Arabidopsis thaliana: one gene and its partners. The protein of the gene in region 1 purifies or fractionates together with the protein of each later gene. This does not show direct contact. Each region holds a gene or a part of one and is shown in the gene's direction. Other genes may lie near its edges. The genes, in order: AT5G28590, AT3G20820 and AT5G12940.

Evidence for each region.
Region 2: the proteins of AT5G28590 (region 1) and AT3G20820 fractionate together in Arabidopsis thaliana (co-fractionation; one large-scale study listed by BioGRID). This does not show direct contact.
Region 3: the proteins of AT5G28590 (region 1) and AT5G12940 fractionate together in Arabidopsis thaliana (co-fractionation; one large-scale study listed by BioGRID). This does not show direct contact.

What each region holds. Positions count from the first base shown.
Region 1 is NC_003076.8:10,577,641-10,584,480, reverse strand, and holds AT5G28590 (DNA-binding family protein), read left to right. Parts: upstream 1-2,921; coding exon 2,922-2,992; intron 2,993-3,904; coding exon 3,905-3,956; intron 3,957-4,086; coding exon 4,087-4,203; intron 4,204-4,487; coding exon 4,488-4,592; intron 4,593-4,729; coding exon 4,730-5,035; downstream 5,036-6,840.
Region 2 is NC_003074.8:7,278,380-7,284,308, forward strand, and holds AT3G20820 (Leucine-rich repeat (LRR) family protein), read left to right. Parts: upstream 1-2,412; 5' UTR 2,413-2,550; coding exon 2,551-3,648; 3' UTR 3,649-3,998; downstream 3,999-5,929.
Region 3 is NC_003076.8:4,085,042-4,090,836, forward strand, and holds AT5G12940 (Leucine-rich repeat (LRR) family protein), read left to right. Parts: upstream 1-2,647; 5' UTR 2,648-2,740; coding exon 2,741-3,856; 3' UTR 3,857-4,105; downstream 4,106-5,795. Other genes in the region: AT5G12930 (inactive rhomboid protein), read right to left, coding at 1-181.

The sequences.
Region 1 (6,840 bases):
GAGGGAACCTACTTTAAGTTGTTTCAGCCAAGAAGCTGCTTCCCCAGTAAGTGAATAATGGAAGAGCTTGCACAGTAGGTAGTCCTCTAAGACTCCATTAGCCTTGATACTTAGAACAAGGTCCTCAAATCGCTCGATATGATCCATTGGCTGCTCATGAGATAAGCCATGGAAAGGATGTTGGCCAACTAAAGCAAAGTAGCCAGGCTTCAGCTCATAGTCGTTCCTCTGGAATGGTGGGGGTACAATTGCTGATCGATTAGCATAGAACAGGTCTGGCCTGTTGAAATCCCCAAGAGTACGACGTGGTTCCGCTGCTGGAGGAATAGCTGCAGGAATCTGGTGTTGGTGTCGATCGACACCTCTGTTGTGTCATTCAATACCGATTGCATCCGCGTTCTGCTCCCGAAGGTGTCGATCGACACCGAGCCCTGCTGCATCTCTAGCAGCTAATTGTGCATTGTGGCGCGCTTGATCCTCATTGGCGTCCTCAGGTATGATGAGTCCATGATCATCCAATCTCTGACCAGCCTCATTGTAGGCTTGCCCATCCTCATCTCTCAAAACTCGTTCTATATCAGCTCTGATGACTCTGTCAACAATTGCTAATTTCTGAGTTTTTCGGTTGGTGCATTCAAGTTTTCCCAAGTCCAGAACAGATAAGTTGCTAAGCTCCTTCTTTTTTGTGCTCCTTGTTTGCCTAGGCATACACCTGAAACACGGAAAAGAAGAAAACAAGAAACGCGTAAGTAACAAAATAGAAGTAAAAACTATACGAAATCTCTAAACAAAACTCAATGATGATTCCCAAGAACTTCGGCAACGGGGGGAAATTTGATATGGTTCAAATTACCTAAAACTACTCTCTCAAATAAGAGATCAATTGCAGTATTTTAAGATCAAATTCACGGAGTTCTTTTGTTCAAACAATGAGTTAAATGTCAAGATAAAGCTAGTAGGGTATAAGTGAAATAGTAAGTAAACTAACCAAGAAAACAACAGGATGATTGGGTTGTAAACGATTAGGAAAAGATCTAACGAAAGGTAGGTTAGTGGATCTAACGAAAGCTAGGTTGTTATCGAACCATTCTTAAACTCAAACTCTAATTATGGAATAATCGGTGGGCGTGCCGCAGAACTCCCTATGTCTATAGCTTATAATAACCGGAGAAGCCGAGAAACTATCAACCTAAATATGCATTCTTAACGAGTTCAATTGTTCATCTTAGTAGATAGGCCGATTCTTATTATACACCTATAAACCAGACTCATCAAATAATAGATCCAACTACAGATACCTATGGCGGGCATATCTATTGTCTGGATTCAAGATCTAGTTAATTATTCTAAATCTAGCATTAAACATAATTAAAGATGAAGAATTCTATAGATAACCTAGCAAAGGGAACAATCTACTAAACCATATGAATCCCTAATGAGAAACCCTATTCCTAACAAGCAGATTACTCAGACATATTGGATGAAGCAAACAACATATTTGAGTGTGAAAGCATAAACATAGTAAATAGAGAAGGGGAAAGAAGGGATCTCTTCACTGTATTAATGATCTGAATGAAACTCTGAAAACAATCGATGATTAGCTTATGTCTCTCAGTAACAGGGTTTTGTAGAAAACTTGATAATGAAAACTGGATGAAAGACTTGATAATGAAAACTAGGGCTAGAAACAATATATATAGACCCTAAAAACGTCCAGGGACTAATAATGCAAATAGGGAAGTCTTCTGGGGTAAATTTCCTCTTCTGTAAACTCGAAAGCGTCTAGGACTTTTGCTGGGCCGAAACTGGTGTCGAGAAATAACATAAAGACTCAAAATCCTATACCTAAAACATAGATAAAATCAGTGAAAATCGGGTTATATCAGTTAACAAGCGCAATCAAGCTATCCCTAGACAACATGTTCAACAACAAATCAATTCAATCCCGTGATAGAAATCCTCAAGCAAAGCTAGCCCAAACTAATTCCCATTAACGGAATCTAACTATGCAGGCAATAAGAACAGACTGATAAAGTCAATAAACGCTCTATACGGCCAATCCCTTGGGATAAAGACGAATATCTCATGAACTAGTGGATCAAGCATTCCATCAAACACCTTCTGGGTGCGGGAATGCTTTAGATGGAATTTCAGTTGATTAGAAAGAAATAAGCAGTAAACACAACTAGTCGTGAAGGGATTCAATCAATTCTAAAACTTAACCATTCTACAGACTAAGGATTCCACAACTATTCTATCCCATCCTTAAGAACTTTATGTCACTACTCAGACAACATGCTCAAAGACATAAACGCAGATAAATGATGATATTGCATAAGTAAAGAGATAAAGAGTAGAGAAACAAGATGATAGATGAAATCAAATGCGAAATCTGAATAACTTGGAAAAATCTCGAATTACAGGTTGCAGAAGCAAAAGCGGCGCAGCCAGAGTAAAACAGAAAATAAAACTGAAGCAAAAACTCAATGTCGACTAGATGTACCAGGACAAAACCCTCGGACACCTATTTATACAAAACAAAATAAAATGATAGTAGACGGGCTAGTAACCTAATCGCTCGGCCCATAGAGTGATAATGGACCGAGATGGGCTTTTTGATCTGATGGAGCTCCAGGCCGTTTCCATACACTTCTTCTTCTCCACTTCTCTTCCTTGTTCTCAGCTTGTCTGGTTAAGTGCGGATTTGAGTCAACTCTGAAGATGTGGTCTAGTGCTTGATCGAGTGATGGTGATGATTGGTGAAGGATATACTCGGTCAAGGGGTCGAGTAACGTGGTAGAGTGAATGGCCGAGTGGTGGTCAGGTGGCGTGGCATAGTGATACTCGACCAGCGGGTCGAGTGGAGTCATCGAGTGGCTTAGATGCTGTTACTCGAGCAGGGGGTCGAGTAGATGGGAAGAATGGCTCCAATGTATTATAAACGGCTTAACCGCCTAAAATCGCCTACGATCCGATTCAGCGTCGCGCTTTCGTGAACATTGCTCAAATCATAACACTAAATTTATTTCCAAATCCTTAAAATAAATCGAGAAACAAAAAGAGATCAGAAAAAAAAAATGAATTTCAATCTTTGATCTTTTGATGTAACTTTCATAGTATTTGAGTTTCTATAGACACTCTTTGTGCTTACAAATGTGTAATCTATTGGAGCAGAAACTTTGTTTTGAACACATTGAAGAATGTTTCTAGTATTGCTTCATTTTGCTGATTTATGGTCTTTGTTTTGTTTAAAACTTGTGGCAGTAGTACCAATAGTTTAATGAATTCATGTTCTAGATTCAATTAATAAACTATGTGAATCGTAAATTGTTTGAGTTCTATGTGAATTGTATTAAAGTTTCAATCTTTGATCTTTCTATGTAACTTTCATAGTATTTGAGTTTCTAGAGACACTCATATGTGTTTATAAATGTGTAATTTGAGTAGAAAGTTTGTTTTAAACACATTGAAGAATGCGTAGATTCGTGTGTCTAGTGTTGCTTCATTTTGCTGATTGATTTGGTTTGTTAAAACTTGTGGCAGCTGAGTTCATGTTAAAGCTCATTTGATCACCATTGTACTCTTTCTTGCTGTTTGAGTTCTATGTGAATTGTGTTAAGTTTCAATCTTTGGTCTTTCTATGTAACTTTCATAGTATTTGAGTTTCTATAGACATTATCTGTGCTTACAAATGCGTAATGTATTGGAGTAGAAACTTTGTTTTGAACACATTGAAGAATGCGTAGATTCTTGTTTCTAGTGCTGATTGATTTGTTTTGTAAAACTTGTGGCAGCTGAGTTCATGTTAAAGATTCAATTAGGTTATAAGATCAACTGATCAACATTGTACTCGTCTTGCTGTTGTCATTTTGTGAGCTTCACATAAACATTTTTTTTTTCCAAGGAAAACTGGGCAATGTTTTACTCCACACATTGTTAATATAACTCCTGGTGAGGTGAGTATTTTTCTTTCATACTATTCTAAAGGCCTTCTTTTGAGATTATGATTTGGTTAAAACTGTGAATGTATTCATAATGCATTTGATTTTGTTGTCTTCTTATGTGTTTTGCGGATTAATTTGATAGGATGTGGCGGAGAAGATTGTTCTTTTCACTCAGCAAAGCAAGCATCAGTTATGTGTTCTTTCTGCATCTGGCTCCATCTCTAATGCATCCTTGTCTCACCTTGCATCAGGAACCAGTGTATCTTATGAGATTCTCTTGTTACTATCTAGTCCCTCTAAACTAGTTCTTGAACTGACTTTGTAAAAAATGGCTTTCTTGAATTGATTCTCTGTTAAAGAAATTGGTTTCTTTTGGGAACTGTTTGTTACAATTAAACTTCGGTTACAGCTAAAGAATTTTATTGACTTCTGACATACATGCTTGATAATTGCATACGATCATCAACTTGCTTCAGAATTACGAACTTTTATTCAGGGTCAGTATGAAATTATCTTACTGAGTGGATCTATATTCGGTGCGAGCACGGGGGTAAAACTGGTGGCCTTAGCGTTTGTTTATCTAATTCAGATGGTCAGATCTTTGGTGGAGGAGTTGGGGGACTCCTAAAGGCTGCTGGTCCAGTCCAGGTATCTTTCCTCTTGTCTTATAGTTTAATTTACATGTGTGCACAAACTCACCTAAATCTAGAAAATGGAATTCCTTGATTATTTGCCAAGTTTGATAGGGATAGTCTCTCTGCTCTTGGCTTTGGTTTCCCGTACAGGTGGTTCTTGGCACGTTTCAGCTAGAGAAAAAGAAGGATGGAAGAAATGGTGCGAAAGGAGATGATGCTTCGGGAAGTAGAAACATGTTACCTTCTCCTTCTGGTACAGAATCTTTGTTGGGCTACCATCCCGATATGGAATCTTCCGGAAGAAATCCAAACGATGAGCATCATACTATTACTAGTAGTGCATTGGGTGGTGGAGCTCATTTCATGATGAAACCACCTCAGGGCATGCACATGACACATGCCCGACCTTCTGAATGGGGCGGTACTGGGTATGATTTGTCAGGTAAAAGTAGCTAACCACTTACTCGTTTGTATCTTTTGGGGTTTCCGGTGTGTTCTCGAATATTTAGTGAGACTGATAATATCACAAGCCTTAATAAGATTCTTATTGTTTGTTGTTTGGACTGTAATGGTGGCCTTATGGATGTTATGTTGTGTAGGACTGAGAGGAAATGGGTAATCAGAAAATGGAGATTATGAGTAAATGGCAAAGATTAGTTACAGATTCAAGTTTCCGAAGAGACGAAGAGACGTGTGTAGGGTTTTAGATCAAAACTGAGGTTGAGCCTGAGTCAGGGTGAGAGTGGACGTATCATCATATAATGTCTAAAGGAATTTTTCATTGCAAAGGCAGAGAAAGAAAAGTAAAGAAGACAGTGATGCTTTTGTTCTTGGTTCAGTGTAAAATTATAATAACTTCACTTTCTTTTTCTGGATTCTCTTTGTTTTCATCCTTTTTTTTTTGTTCTTTTTCTTCATATAATCAGTTTTTCTTTTTTTGGTTAATTGTATTTTTTTTTTTCTCAAACGAATTGAAAATTTAGAAATATGGACAATCATATATATATGAAAGAAGGCAAACTCTCTACTACAACAGACTACGTTGATTGTAATGTTGTTTACTAGACTAAAGTGGTCTTTAAATCTCTCAAGAAAAACCAAAACATCTATATATACGTTATTTTCTATCCTGTAAATACTTTTAGTAACAAATACTCAAACAAACATTTTCCTCTATATCACTTAAAAGCACAATGTTTCTCATGAATGCCTCTAATCTAAATCGGGGAAAATGTCGTTTAATTGCCGAACTTTACCAAAATGCCATTTTATACACCAACTTCGTATAAGATCGTTTTAAACATTAACTTTGCGTTGACTTTCATAATTTTGTTGACCGGGCCTAAATATACTCGTCGTTAAATCCGATAACGGACCCATTAACAGCCGTTTAGATCCGTTAACATCTCTTTGTTAGTGACAAAACTGCGTCGTTTTCGACTTAATCGGCACTTATACTCAAATTAGTCGACAAAAAATCCCCAATTCTCAAACTTGATATCCCTAATTCCCAGAAACCTAAATCGAATTGGTAATTACAAATCTTTCACAAATGCCTTTGGTTCGAAACAAAGGCGTTGTATCTAGGATTGGGACAACAATGTGAGTCTCTAATTCGGCAGCTGAAGTTGAAGATCCAGCGAGATGTGAAATTGGAGGTCCACCGGCGGTAGATGGAAGTGTAGTAGCCTCACTGTCTGTAGAAGATGGAGGTTTAGCTCAACCCAATGTTCTTGGAGGTCGAGTCTCTAGACAGAGTCGAAAACGAAGAAGAGTCGTTGAAAAATATGAGGAAAAGCCTGAATTGGAAGTTGCTCAAGATATCGAAGATGACTGTGCCGTATATGGTGATGATGACTGCAATGGTGTTGACGATGCAATACGTGGTGGAGATAACGATGCTGTGGAGGAAGATGCTAACGATGCTAACGATGCTGATGGAGAAGATGCTAACGATGCTGATGGAGAAGATGCTAACGATGCTTTTGAAGAAGATGCAAACCTTAACATTGAAGAAGATTTTCATGAGGCTTTTAGAGTTGATGAAGACGGTTCTGACCACGACAGCGGTGATGATATATGGGATGAAGACAGGATTCCTGATCCGTTGTCATCTGATGACGAAGATGAAGTTAGAGGAGAAGAAGAGACAACTCGTAGAGATGAAAACGAGCCAGAGGGTTTGCTAGCATTAGAGAAAACCTACAACTCTCCGAATGACTCTTCAAGCGTGCATTATTGATGTACTCTTTGAAGACAAG
Region 2 (5,929 bases), on another chromosome or scaffold:
TAGTATCTTCCTTTTAGTTGGCTTATGTCATTGTAATTGCACTTATCTTGTTGATATCATTCATTTTATATATAACTTGCGACCTAACCAATGCTTTGGAGTTCGTGGGTGATTAATATACTCATGCCAAAACCAATAATTAATTTCTTGACACGTAATACCCGCAGCAACTGAGCTGTCGCATGACAAGCCAAAAAACCATCAAGTTTAAAGAAACAAAATCCACCAAGATGAGATTTTTAACTCGCAAAGATTTTTGTTCTTTGGGATGTAACATTAAATAGTAGACGACAGATTTTATGCGAAATACAAAAACTTTGAGAAAATAGTTTTAAAAAAGACATATTGTACCCCTCCAGGTAAAAAAGATCTAGTCCAACACCTATAAACTTTGAAAACTCTACTAGCATTAAACTTTGGACATTACTATGTCTCGCATAATCGCCTTTAGGAATGCTAAGGACAAAAACATGTTTTACAGTTATTGTCTGTGAGCAGTAGTTTCATGTGGCTGCCGTTTATTACGAAACCGTCGGTGCTGAATTAGAGACACGGACGGTGAAAAATCATAAACGGTAAATGCTTTTACAACCATTTATCTATATGCTTTGAAGCCCAATCTTAGCCCAAGCCATGATACTAGAAGCCGAATCAAAAGCTAATATAGGGCTTGATTGGTTCTCCCTCTGCCACCCGCAAACGCAGCGTTTGCGGGTGGTAGCGGTTATTAGCGGTTGGCACCAATCATAGAAACCGCTAGATACCGCTTTGGACCGCTTGAAATCACCAGATTTCAAAAGCTCCTTCCCGCAAGCGTTTGCGGTTGCGGGCGGTAGCGGTTAGGTTAAAAAAAAATTAATTAATTAATTAAAATAATTATGTCTTCCACCCAAACCTTATACTTATTCTTATCAGAAAACCCTAATCAATGAAACCCTATTCTCTCAATTATGGCATCCACCCAAACTGACAAAAATCAAAGTCAAAATCAAGAATCAAACGTAAGTATGATCTATCCTTTCATCCATTCATTAGCTAGTGTAATTCTCGGAATATTTCATGGCATCGTTGTTTTTTTTTATTTTGTTTTTTTTTGAGTTTTTTGATTGAATACATGTTTTGATTTGTTTTCTCGATTAGAAAATCATTTGGTCAAACGAGACCACATTTGCGTTACTTCAACGGGTTATTGTGGAGAAATAAACGGAAGAATCCAAAGACCCCAAAATCAGATTTCTAAGTGATGTTCAAAAAGAAAATATTCTTAAGAATATTAACGTTTGGAAAAAATTTGAGTTGGAGATGTGTTAAAAATCGTTTGGATATCTTGAAGAAACTTTATCATATGTATAGAGGCAATCCGGAAAACCCGCGAGTTCAACGTTATTTACAGTTTATCACACTACTTGATGCAATTTTTGGTGATGTACCAAATGCATAAAGTATTAAACTTTTTCTTACAAAATTTATTTATTTTTGAATTTTTAGTTTTATTTATGGTTTTAATTATTAAGTATGTTTAATTTTTCAAATATTATCAATTTATCATAATAATATATTGTATTTTTTTTCTTTTAATAGTAATATATTATATTTATTTTGGTTATTTTTTATTTAATTACTATCGCACCCGCTGGTTTACCAGTCATAAAACTCCCGCAAACGCACTCATTACCAAACGCTCAACCAGTCGTTCAAAACACTTGATAACGTTTGAAACCGCAACCGCCCGTTTCCGCAAATTCCCGCAACCGCAATCGTACCCGCTGCGTTTAAACCAGGCCCATAGTCAACATAAGTTACGGAACCACAACTATTTGCGACTCGAAGATGTGTATCGTCATCTCATAACATGATTAGAAAAAGGATTAAAATGCAAGAACATAACCACGTGGCGTCATGTTGACCCTGTGATATGATTGTAGTAAGCAACAAGCTTATCCAACCGGCAAGTCGCATCGGAAAATCTAATCGTAGCTTCAATTATTTGCATGGGAACTCTCCCCCACTTTCAGTTCCTGTCTCTATCTTAATTTGTCTGCAACCTTTTCTATTACCATCTAATGAATGTGCTCAACACTATAAATCCATGTGTATGTTTCTTCATTTTTGTGGCCATATTATTGCTACAACTAGTTATTACAAACCACACAATCACATGTTACTCAAACAACAAACCCACATGTTAAAAGTTATTACCAATTTCTTACGTTCTCGTTTTTTTGTGTTTAAGATATCTAACATGAATTTGACATTTGTTGTTGACTAATTTGATGTAGAATTTCTTGATTAATCAAGATTACACGAACACAAGCTTCATTATTGAACGAGGCCAAAGTGTCTAATCTTACCCATATCGAATTATTATTTTAACAATTTCACGTAAAAAAAAAAATAAAGCAAAGTATTGTCCTTTTTTTATTAATATATTTTTAAAAATTCCCTCTTTTATTTAATATCCTCTATTTATATGCCATTAACGTCTATCTTCTTCCCTCACCCATCAAGTCCCAATTCCCAACACTGTCACTCAAAAAGAATCTTCAAACAATGAATCTCAACGTCGTCGTTTTACTCCTACTCCTTCTAATCTCATCCGCCACGTGTTGTCCGCCGTCAGACCGCCGTGCACTTCTAGCTTTCCGATCAGCTCTTCACGAGCCTTACCTCGGCATTTTCAACTCATGGACAGGCCAAGACTGTTGCCACAACTGGTACGGTATTAGCTGCGACTCGCTCACTCACCGAGTCGCCGACATAAATCTCCGCGGCGAGTCAGAAGATCCAATCTTCGAACGAGCTCACCGAACCGGTTACATGACCGGACACATCTCCGCCTCGATATGTGAGCTCACTCGTCTCTCCGCCATTACAATCGCCGATTGGAAAGGTATCTCCGGCGAAATCCCTAAATGTATCACTCGTCTTCCTTTTCTCCGTACACTCGACTTAATCGGAAACCAAATCTCCGGTGGGATTCCATACGACATCGGAAGATTAAACCGGTTAGCTGTTTTAAACGTAGCCGATAACCGAATCTCCGGTTCAATTCCAAAATCATTAACCAATCTCTCTAGCTTAATGCATTTAGATCTCCGTAACAACTTAATCTCCGGTGTAATCCCGTCGGACGTCGGAAGATTAAAAATGCTCAGCCGTGCGTTATTATCCGGTAACCGAATAACCGGTCGGATCCCAGAATCATTAACCAATATCTACCGGTTAGCTGACGTGGATCTCTCCGGTAACCAACTCTACGGTACAATCCCACCGTCTCTAGGACGTATGTCGGTACTAGCCACACTTAACCTCGACGGAAACAAAATCTCCGGCGAGATACCTCAAACTCTGATGACGTCGTCGGTGATGAATCTGAATTTGAGCCGGAACTTGCTACAAGGGAAGATACCTGAAGGGTTTGGACCAAGGTCTTACTTCACAGTTCTTGATTTGTCGTATAATAATCTGAAAGGACCAATACCGAGATCGATCTCAGGTGCGTCGTTTATTGGTCATTTGGATCTTAGCCATAACCATCTCTGTGGGAGGATTCCGGTAGGTTCACCGTTTGATCATCTTGAAGCGGCGTCGTTTATGTTTAACGACTGTCTTTGTGGTAAACCTTTAAGAGCTTGCTTGAAAAATTGATTTTTATATGTAATTTGAGTTTTTTCATTAGAGACATTATTATATTTATGGTTATGCATTTTATAAAAAAAAGATTTAAAATTGTATGCTACGTTTAGTTGAATTATGGGATGATTAACAAAATATATAAACTTCCAGTTTCATTCGTCACACGATTGCTATCATTTTTAATTCAATTGTTTGGTTTTTTGTAATATGTTATATGTGTACGTATACGATTACTATAAACTGTTTTATAGACGATTAAATTTTCTCTATAACACACGAACATATTTGATAATCAATTATGTTTACTGTGACAAGAGTCAATATTGGGAATATATCCGAACATAGGATATACATGGAAATACCTACGGATATGTTCGTATTTAATGTATCGAGTAAACTATTTTTTGTTTTTTCTTACATATTTTATACGATATACATATAACTATAGACTAGGAATGCATTTAGTTGGGTTTGTTTAAGAACATTTATTCTAGAGCCAAATACACATAATATGGAAAAATTCAAATCACAATCACATGAAGAAGAATTAAATGAAACATTAAAAAGAAAGCGTTGTGGGGGTAATAAATAAATGGGCAGAGGCATTGCATGTGAGACTCTGTAAAGCATTTTGCGGTGAGTGTTAACCTCAGGACCTGTCGCTGCTTCACTACATGGGTCTACTCTTTATGTCACTGCATTCATTGCTTATGTCTCTAATTACACACATTTATATACTTGCTTACAAAACGTTTTGGGCTCATACAGCTTTAGAGTCCAAACTAATTGGGCCTACGTACGTTGGTCCCTATAGATTTTTATGGTTTAGAGTCCATCACAAATCTTGTTTTCATACTTTGTGGTATGTAAAGTTGAGATTCAAACAAACCATTTGTACAACGTATAAATTATGTATTAAGTTTGAACCTATTTGATTATATATTCCGATAAATAATCTGCCATACATCATCAAAACAAAATGATTTTTTTTTTAACATGAACTAAAGAAGAAGAAGAAAGTTGTACAAGTTCTTTAACTCTCTCCCTGCCTTCTGTTGCTTATGGAATAAGGTTGGTCGAACACAACATGTGATCACCTTCCTAATATCCAAATCTTCTTTTGTCCTATTAATTATTTATTTTTTCCAATATTTATCTTGATGGATTTTAGTATAAAATACCCATTGTCAATTTTGAGAAATGCCAAACTATAATTATAGGTTTTGTCCACTTTCTTTTTTTATTTTTTATTCCTCCTTTTTGTATTTGTCTTAATCAGTACTACTCGAAATACACTTTGTTCACTACTTGTAAAAACTCTTAACATACTTGAATAGGATCTGTTTTCTATAATTAACAGAAACATTACAAAGAACCAAATGCATAATGGTATGCAAGAAAACAAACCATATGAGTCATTGTTTAAATTGACTCTCCTTGTACAGTGAAACTTCTAGCTAATTACTTTTTTTGGTGACTGAACCAAGCTAAATCTAATGGAACAAGTGTTATTCAAAATAAATAAATTGATAGCTACTAACAAGAGCGTTGAGAACGTTACAATTAATATGTTAAATAATCAGATTTTAAATTTTGTGCAATCTCCAAAACTTTTCTGCTAACACTTTACATGGATCTTTGTTTTTCTTTGATCAAAGATCGTTTGTGAAATGACTTTCTAAGGCATTTTCGGTGTGACTTTCAAACGTATGTATTGTAAATAAAAAGGACATGTACGTATTTTCAAACACTATAAATCATTTGTAAATGTATGCTTTGCAAGTTTTGGGCGGAACACCTACATAAAAGTTAATTTTTCATTTTCAAAGCCAAACACCTATCTTTTTAGCTTGTAGGTGTATCCTTAATATGGGTAGGACTTTGTTTTACCCGTGACTTTGCTTTTTGCTCCATATCTCAACACAATTGCATCTATTGCTATATCATAAAAACACAAAAAGTAAGCTAGTCTTAGATCCATCGTAGAGACTCGAGATGATATTGAACCACTTCTATACATATCTCTCCGTGATAACATTTTATAAAACTATAGGAATGATAGCTAGAAACTTTGAGTTCTAAAGAAGAAGAGACAGATTTATCATAACTTGTTAATATGATAATATCAGTAAGTATTGGATTACTAATTCAGCTCCAGGCTTAGCAATTTCTTGCTTTACTTAAAAAATAACACGGAATTCGAATTCGAACAAACGATTCTCCATGGATATGTTGTAATCAATTTCATAAGTGTTGGGGCTTCTTGACGTGATGATAATTTTCTTCGATGACT
Region 3 (5,795 bases), 6.5 Mb from region 1:
TGACGAGTAAACCCTGGAGAGAGATGTAAGCTAGCGGGGGAGACGATTGTAGAGGCTGGCAACGACGGGTAAAGTGAGTAGAGAGGCGACGAGTATACGGAGAGAAGAAAGGGGCGAGATGGACTGAAGCATGCGGAATTGGGTAAGACCCGGGATCCGGATCCGAACCGGGTTCATTCATGGACGAGCCGAAGAGGAATGGAGGAATCAACGAGGTTCGTTCGTCTTCAAAGAGAGATTTCAATTCTTCAAAGAGAGATTTTTTCAATTTTCAATATTCAATATTCAATTTTGGGTTCTTTGGAGTTTTCTGTAATTTCAAAATGTGAGATTTCCCCCGTAAGGAAGGTGATGCGACGTTCATCGTCTGGGTCTACATTGAAGCCACGTATTCATTTTTTTGCCTTTTTGGTTCATTTTCTTTTTACTGTCTCTCTTGTACTTTTCTTCACAGCCACATTTTTCTGGTGTTTTGATTTCCAAGGTTATTGTTTTGAAAAAACAAACATATATGTTTTCTGCTTATTCGTCTTTTTGTTAAGATTAATCGAGTAGTCCTATATAGAAAAATCATACTTTTATTTGTCTTTTTTTGGAACTTAATAAATAGTTATAGACACATTCTTTGAAAAACATTAGTCCAAAACTCACTTGGTCTCTCTCTTTATTTGTCTTGGGTTCTACCTTTCTGGCTCTCCTAAAATATATCTCACCTTCACCTTGTGAATTATCTCAGCCAGTAGAGCTCCAGTTCACCGTTACGCTTTGCATGGTGCGTCAATACTTAACCTTTATTCGCTGGTCTATCTCTCATGTCAGTCATGTGCTTGCTCATGCATTATTTACGGGAACCACATTTTTGTATTAGTTCTCATAACCCTTAATTGGGTATTTGATTGAACCACATTTTGCAAGCATTAATACACGATTACACGTGACGTCTAACGGTCTAAGTGATATATCCTCCAGTGATATAGACACGTGCTATGCCCTAGTCCTTGGGAAATCGACCTTTCTTTTTGTTTTTCTTCGTTTTCTGAATTATGAAAAGTCGTCTGTTGTTGACTCCCCTGCATACTACCTACATTTTTGTAAGTGTTATTCTATGCAATCAATCCCACAAATTTCTCATCTTTTTGCACTCAAAACACAGTTTACTAATTTAGTTTGTCACGTCAACAAAAAAATAGCCGACAAAAGTTATGTTTTGTGGATGATCATTTCATAAAACTTAATTGTATAATGATTGTTGTCATCATAATCCATGTTAATATATTTCAATCGACCGATGATTTATATGAATCAGTTTTTAAAGTTCTAATACACGGCAAACGAACGTCAAGCACATGCGCGGGCACATGAGTTGTCTTTTGAATAATCAAAGCCATTAATGTCACCCTTCTGACTTGACACTTCCTTCTAAATCTCTTGATACAATTATAACAACTACTAAATCTCCGAATCACGTTTACTCTAGCTGCTGTCTCCAAACCTGTCCTGTTTTTAGGGCCGACCATGAATTTTAAGATATATCTCAAGGGAAATAACTAAATACGCTAAACTACGTTGTTGAATTAAGAAGTTGATTTTCAACGTCTACAAACATAATTTCACTAAAGGTTGAATCTATTAGCGTTTCTGTTTGACGAAAACAAACGAACAGTTTAATCTTCCGCTGGTCTATGGACGATAAAATGAACAAGACAAAATAAAACCTTACATATTTGAGTCGTTGTTCTTTATCAAAAAAAAATAAAAAATTTGAGTCGTTGCTCGTCAGATTTTATGTCACTAGACAGCAACGAAAACAAGCACATAATAATCAAAACCGTAGCAGAAAATGCCAATCAAAGGTAAATTATGGTTCATGGAGGCAATTTGCAAACAATGATTAGGATTGTGTCATACTGTAGAAAAAATTAACAAAACAATTTTTTTATTATTCATTGACTCGAAGGTTGAACAAGAAGGTCGAAAAAATAAACATCTTTACATGGGGGTTCATATTATTTATGTACAAATTGCTACCAAGGACAAAGATCACATGCTCATCTACAACGATAAGATCAATGAATTTGACAGTATATTAATAAATCATGCATCTATACATAAATAAAAACTAGTAGGAACTAGTCTAGTCAAAAAGTACAGTATTATGGACAAGATATGAAACTAGCTAGGATAATACTAATTGCTGTAGCTTAAGCCACTTGAATGTTGTCCCTCATTATTATGTCCAAAAAATTCAATGTAGACAAGAAAAAAGAACTAATACTAATATATGTCTTGCCACGATTGTTACTTTAATCTCATTTTTCAAATATTATGGTCTCATATAGCCAAATCTGTAATTCTTATATTCCAGTACGTATGGAGAGACTCGGGAGAGTCGAACCAAGAACATGCTCAGGCCTTCTGAGTTGTGACATAGATAGTACAACCAGGCGACCGAGACAAACAAAACCATGTTATTTGTAATGAATCATAATGATCCAATCTTGACCACACACAAAGAAAAGTCTGATAATAATGAAACAAATGAGCATGCAAAGTATGTGACGACGTGGCAAAAAATGAGAAGGTTCAACGAAGCAACAAAAAGAAGTATTTCGTCGTCTTTACTCCCATCAATATGTGACTATAAATAAAACCATATAGTTAAGTCACACTTCCATGTCAACGTGCTTCAACCTATGTAAAGCTAAAAAAAAAACACATCACACAAAAGATTCTCTACACTATGGATACTAAGAAATCGTTAGTGATCCTATTGACTAACGTCGTCGTCTTCTTGCTTCTCTCCACGACTGTCCATTCTTGCTTACCGTCCGACCGAGCGGCGCTTCTAGAGTTCCGAGCAAAGCTCAACGAGCCCTACATTGGAGTTTTCAACACATGGAAAGGTCTAGACTGTTGCAAAGGCTGGTATGGTGTGAGCTGCGATCCCAACACCCGTCGAGTCGCCGGCATTACACTCCGAGGTGAATCCGAAGACCCGCTTTTCCAAAAGGCGAAACGGAGCGGACTAATGACCGGCTCCATTTCGCCCTCTATATGTAAGCTCACTCGTCTCTCCGGTATCATCATCGCTGATTGGAAGGGAATCTCCGGTGTGATTCCTAGTTGCATTGAGAATCTCCCTTTCTTGAGACATTTAGATCTCGTCGGAAATAAATTCTCCGGCGTGATTCCGGCGAATATCGGGAAGTTACTGAGGCTTAAAGTGTTGAATCTAGCTGATAATCACTTATACGGTGTGATTCCTCCGTCGATCACGAGATTAGTGAGTTTATCGCATTTGGATCTCAGGAATAACAATATCTCGGGAGTCATACCGCGAGATATTGGTCGTTTAAAGATGGTGAGTCGTGTCCTTTTAAGCGGTAACAAAATCTCGGGTCAAATACCCGATTCTCTGACCCGGATATACCGGCTCGCGGATCTTGAGCTCTCGATGAACCGACTCACCGGTCCGATTCCGGCTTCGTTCGGTAAAATGTCGGTGCTCGCGACTCTCAATCTCGATGGGAACTTGATCTCCGGTATGATTCCGGGGAGTCTATTGGCATCATCGATCTCGAATTTGAATCTGAGCGGGAATCTTATAACCGGAAGTATACCTAACACGTTTGGACCGAGATCGTACTTCACGGTGCTGGATCTTGCGAACAATCGTCTTCAGGGACCGATTCCGGCGAGTATCACGGCGGCGTCGTTTATTGGTCACCTTGACGTGAGCCATAACCATTTGTGTGGGAAGATTCCGATGGGATCTCCGTTTGATCATCTTGACGCGACGTCGTTTGCTTACAATGCTTGTCTTTGTGGAAAGCCTCTTGGGAATTGTAAGAAATAATTAATTAAATTATTGTTTAAAGATTTGAGGGAATCATTATATAGTTTGATTATGAATATTATTACTATAATTTTCACGTTATCAATGTAACTATAAGCAATATTTTTATCTGGTGTTTAAGTCTTCTTGTTTATCTGTCTTGATTGATTCTCAAACTATCATCAATGAGACACCTCGAACCAAATGAAATGAGCTAATAGGATAAACTTTTCAAATACGAGTTTAGAAATGTGGACCGACCACGCTTGTGAGATCAGTAAAGCCCGGGATACATTCAACCATTTGTTCTGACTAGACTTTACAAATATGGACTATGGTATGCATATTAAATTCGTCTCCTTACATACAATTCAAAACAGTTTGGTTAGAAGTGTAAGTGTGTAACACTTTTAAGATACGTTTTTTTCTTGTATCTCTTGTTTTGGTGTGTTTCACTTAGAGATTGGTTTCATTCAAATTTCAGTTAGTACATTTTTCTGTTGTAATGTTAAACCAGAATTTGTGTCTATGTCCATTTTCTTTGTGACGCCAGGTCTATATGTCCAATTAGGTGGTCTACTTAACAAAACATATTTAAGTGGACCGTATAGGCCAAATTGGTTTGGTGGGCTTGTATCCAATGTCGGTGGTGCACCATGCATAAGTAGTCGTCTTTTGGAAGAACGGAAGATATAAATATTGCCATAACTCCACAAGTTTTTCAACTGAGTTTTAATTAGTCGTAAATCAATATTGACGTAAAAATATCTCACACCTTTAAGCAATTCTGTGATGACCGCGTTGCTGATCATAGCCTCCAAAGGATGTGCAATGAACTATAAATTTTGCGATGGAATTAGTCAAACTACATTTTCTTTGTGATGATCTCTTTGATCCGTTATTGAACACACATTTCATATTTCAAAGATAAAGTAAGAATATTGACAAAGTTTCTGATAGATTACTCTATAGCACAAAACACAATAGTCACTACTAGCTAGATTACATAAATTTATTCATTAATGGTATATTGATCTAGATTCTGTTATAAGTAATAATGGCTAGCTTGCCCGGTAAAGATCATCACAACTATATAGTAGACATAGTTTTTTTAGAAGAACAACAAGATACGACACAAAGAACACGTGAATACCGTGCGGGAGAGAATTGCACAACAAGTATGTGATGCTTCTAAGTCACTTTTATTATTAACAGGAATACCGTACATGAGAGAATTCCATAACAAGTTTGTGTGCAAAGTATGCTTTGAAGCATCCTATTAGTTAAAAATATTAATGGTCCATGCTGATTGTAAAATTTCTAGTAATAATTGTTTCAACGTAACTGGTTTTAGACAAACGTATTGACATATGCTTACAAAAGCCTGTTTCTTAAGTGTTGAGGAAGACTTTCTCTCAAAGTATTCTTGTATGAGCTTTCTATGTTCTACAATAATTTCATAAAACTCATCGATTAACTATTAAGTATTCCAATTATTGTAGGGTAAATGTATTTAACTACCATATCGTTGAAAAGATAAAAAATATATATATATATGGTCTTACAATTAGAGACTTGCTCGGTCTTGGTCTTACTAACTAATCCCCCTTCCACTATATATGTGCAATAAGTTTCTTAGCAAGATTAGTCTCACCAACTCGAAGCATTGGAATGGATAAAGATATACTTTTGACATACTTTTGAACTATTAGTATGAGTTTAAATAAAATCAATTCTTCGACACCAACTAGAGTTGAGTTATATACATATGCATTGACACACAAAACCTTAGTCCTATACAGTATATTCTACATAGCTTATCAACTGAACAAGGTTACTGCCTTTGTAGCAATCCAATAAGGCACAACAACATAGTATTTACGTTTTCTCACTACAACGTTGCTAAAATGTTTTTTTTTTTTATATAGGTATTCAGTAGGTTTATTTTTTATAATATCAT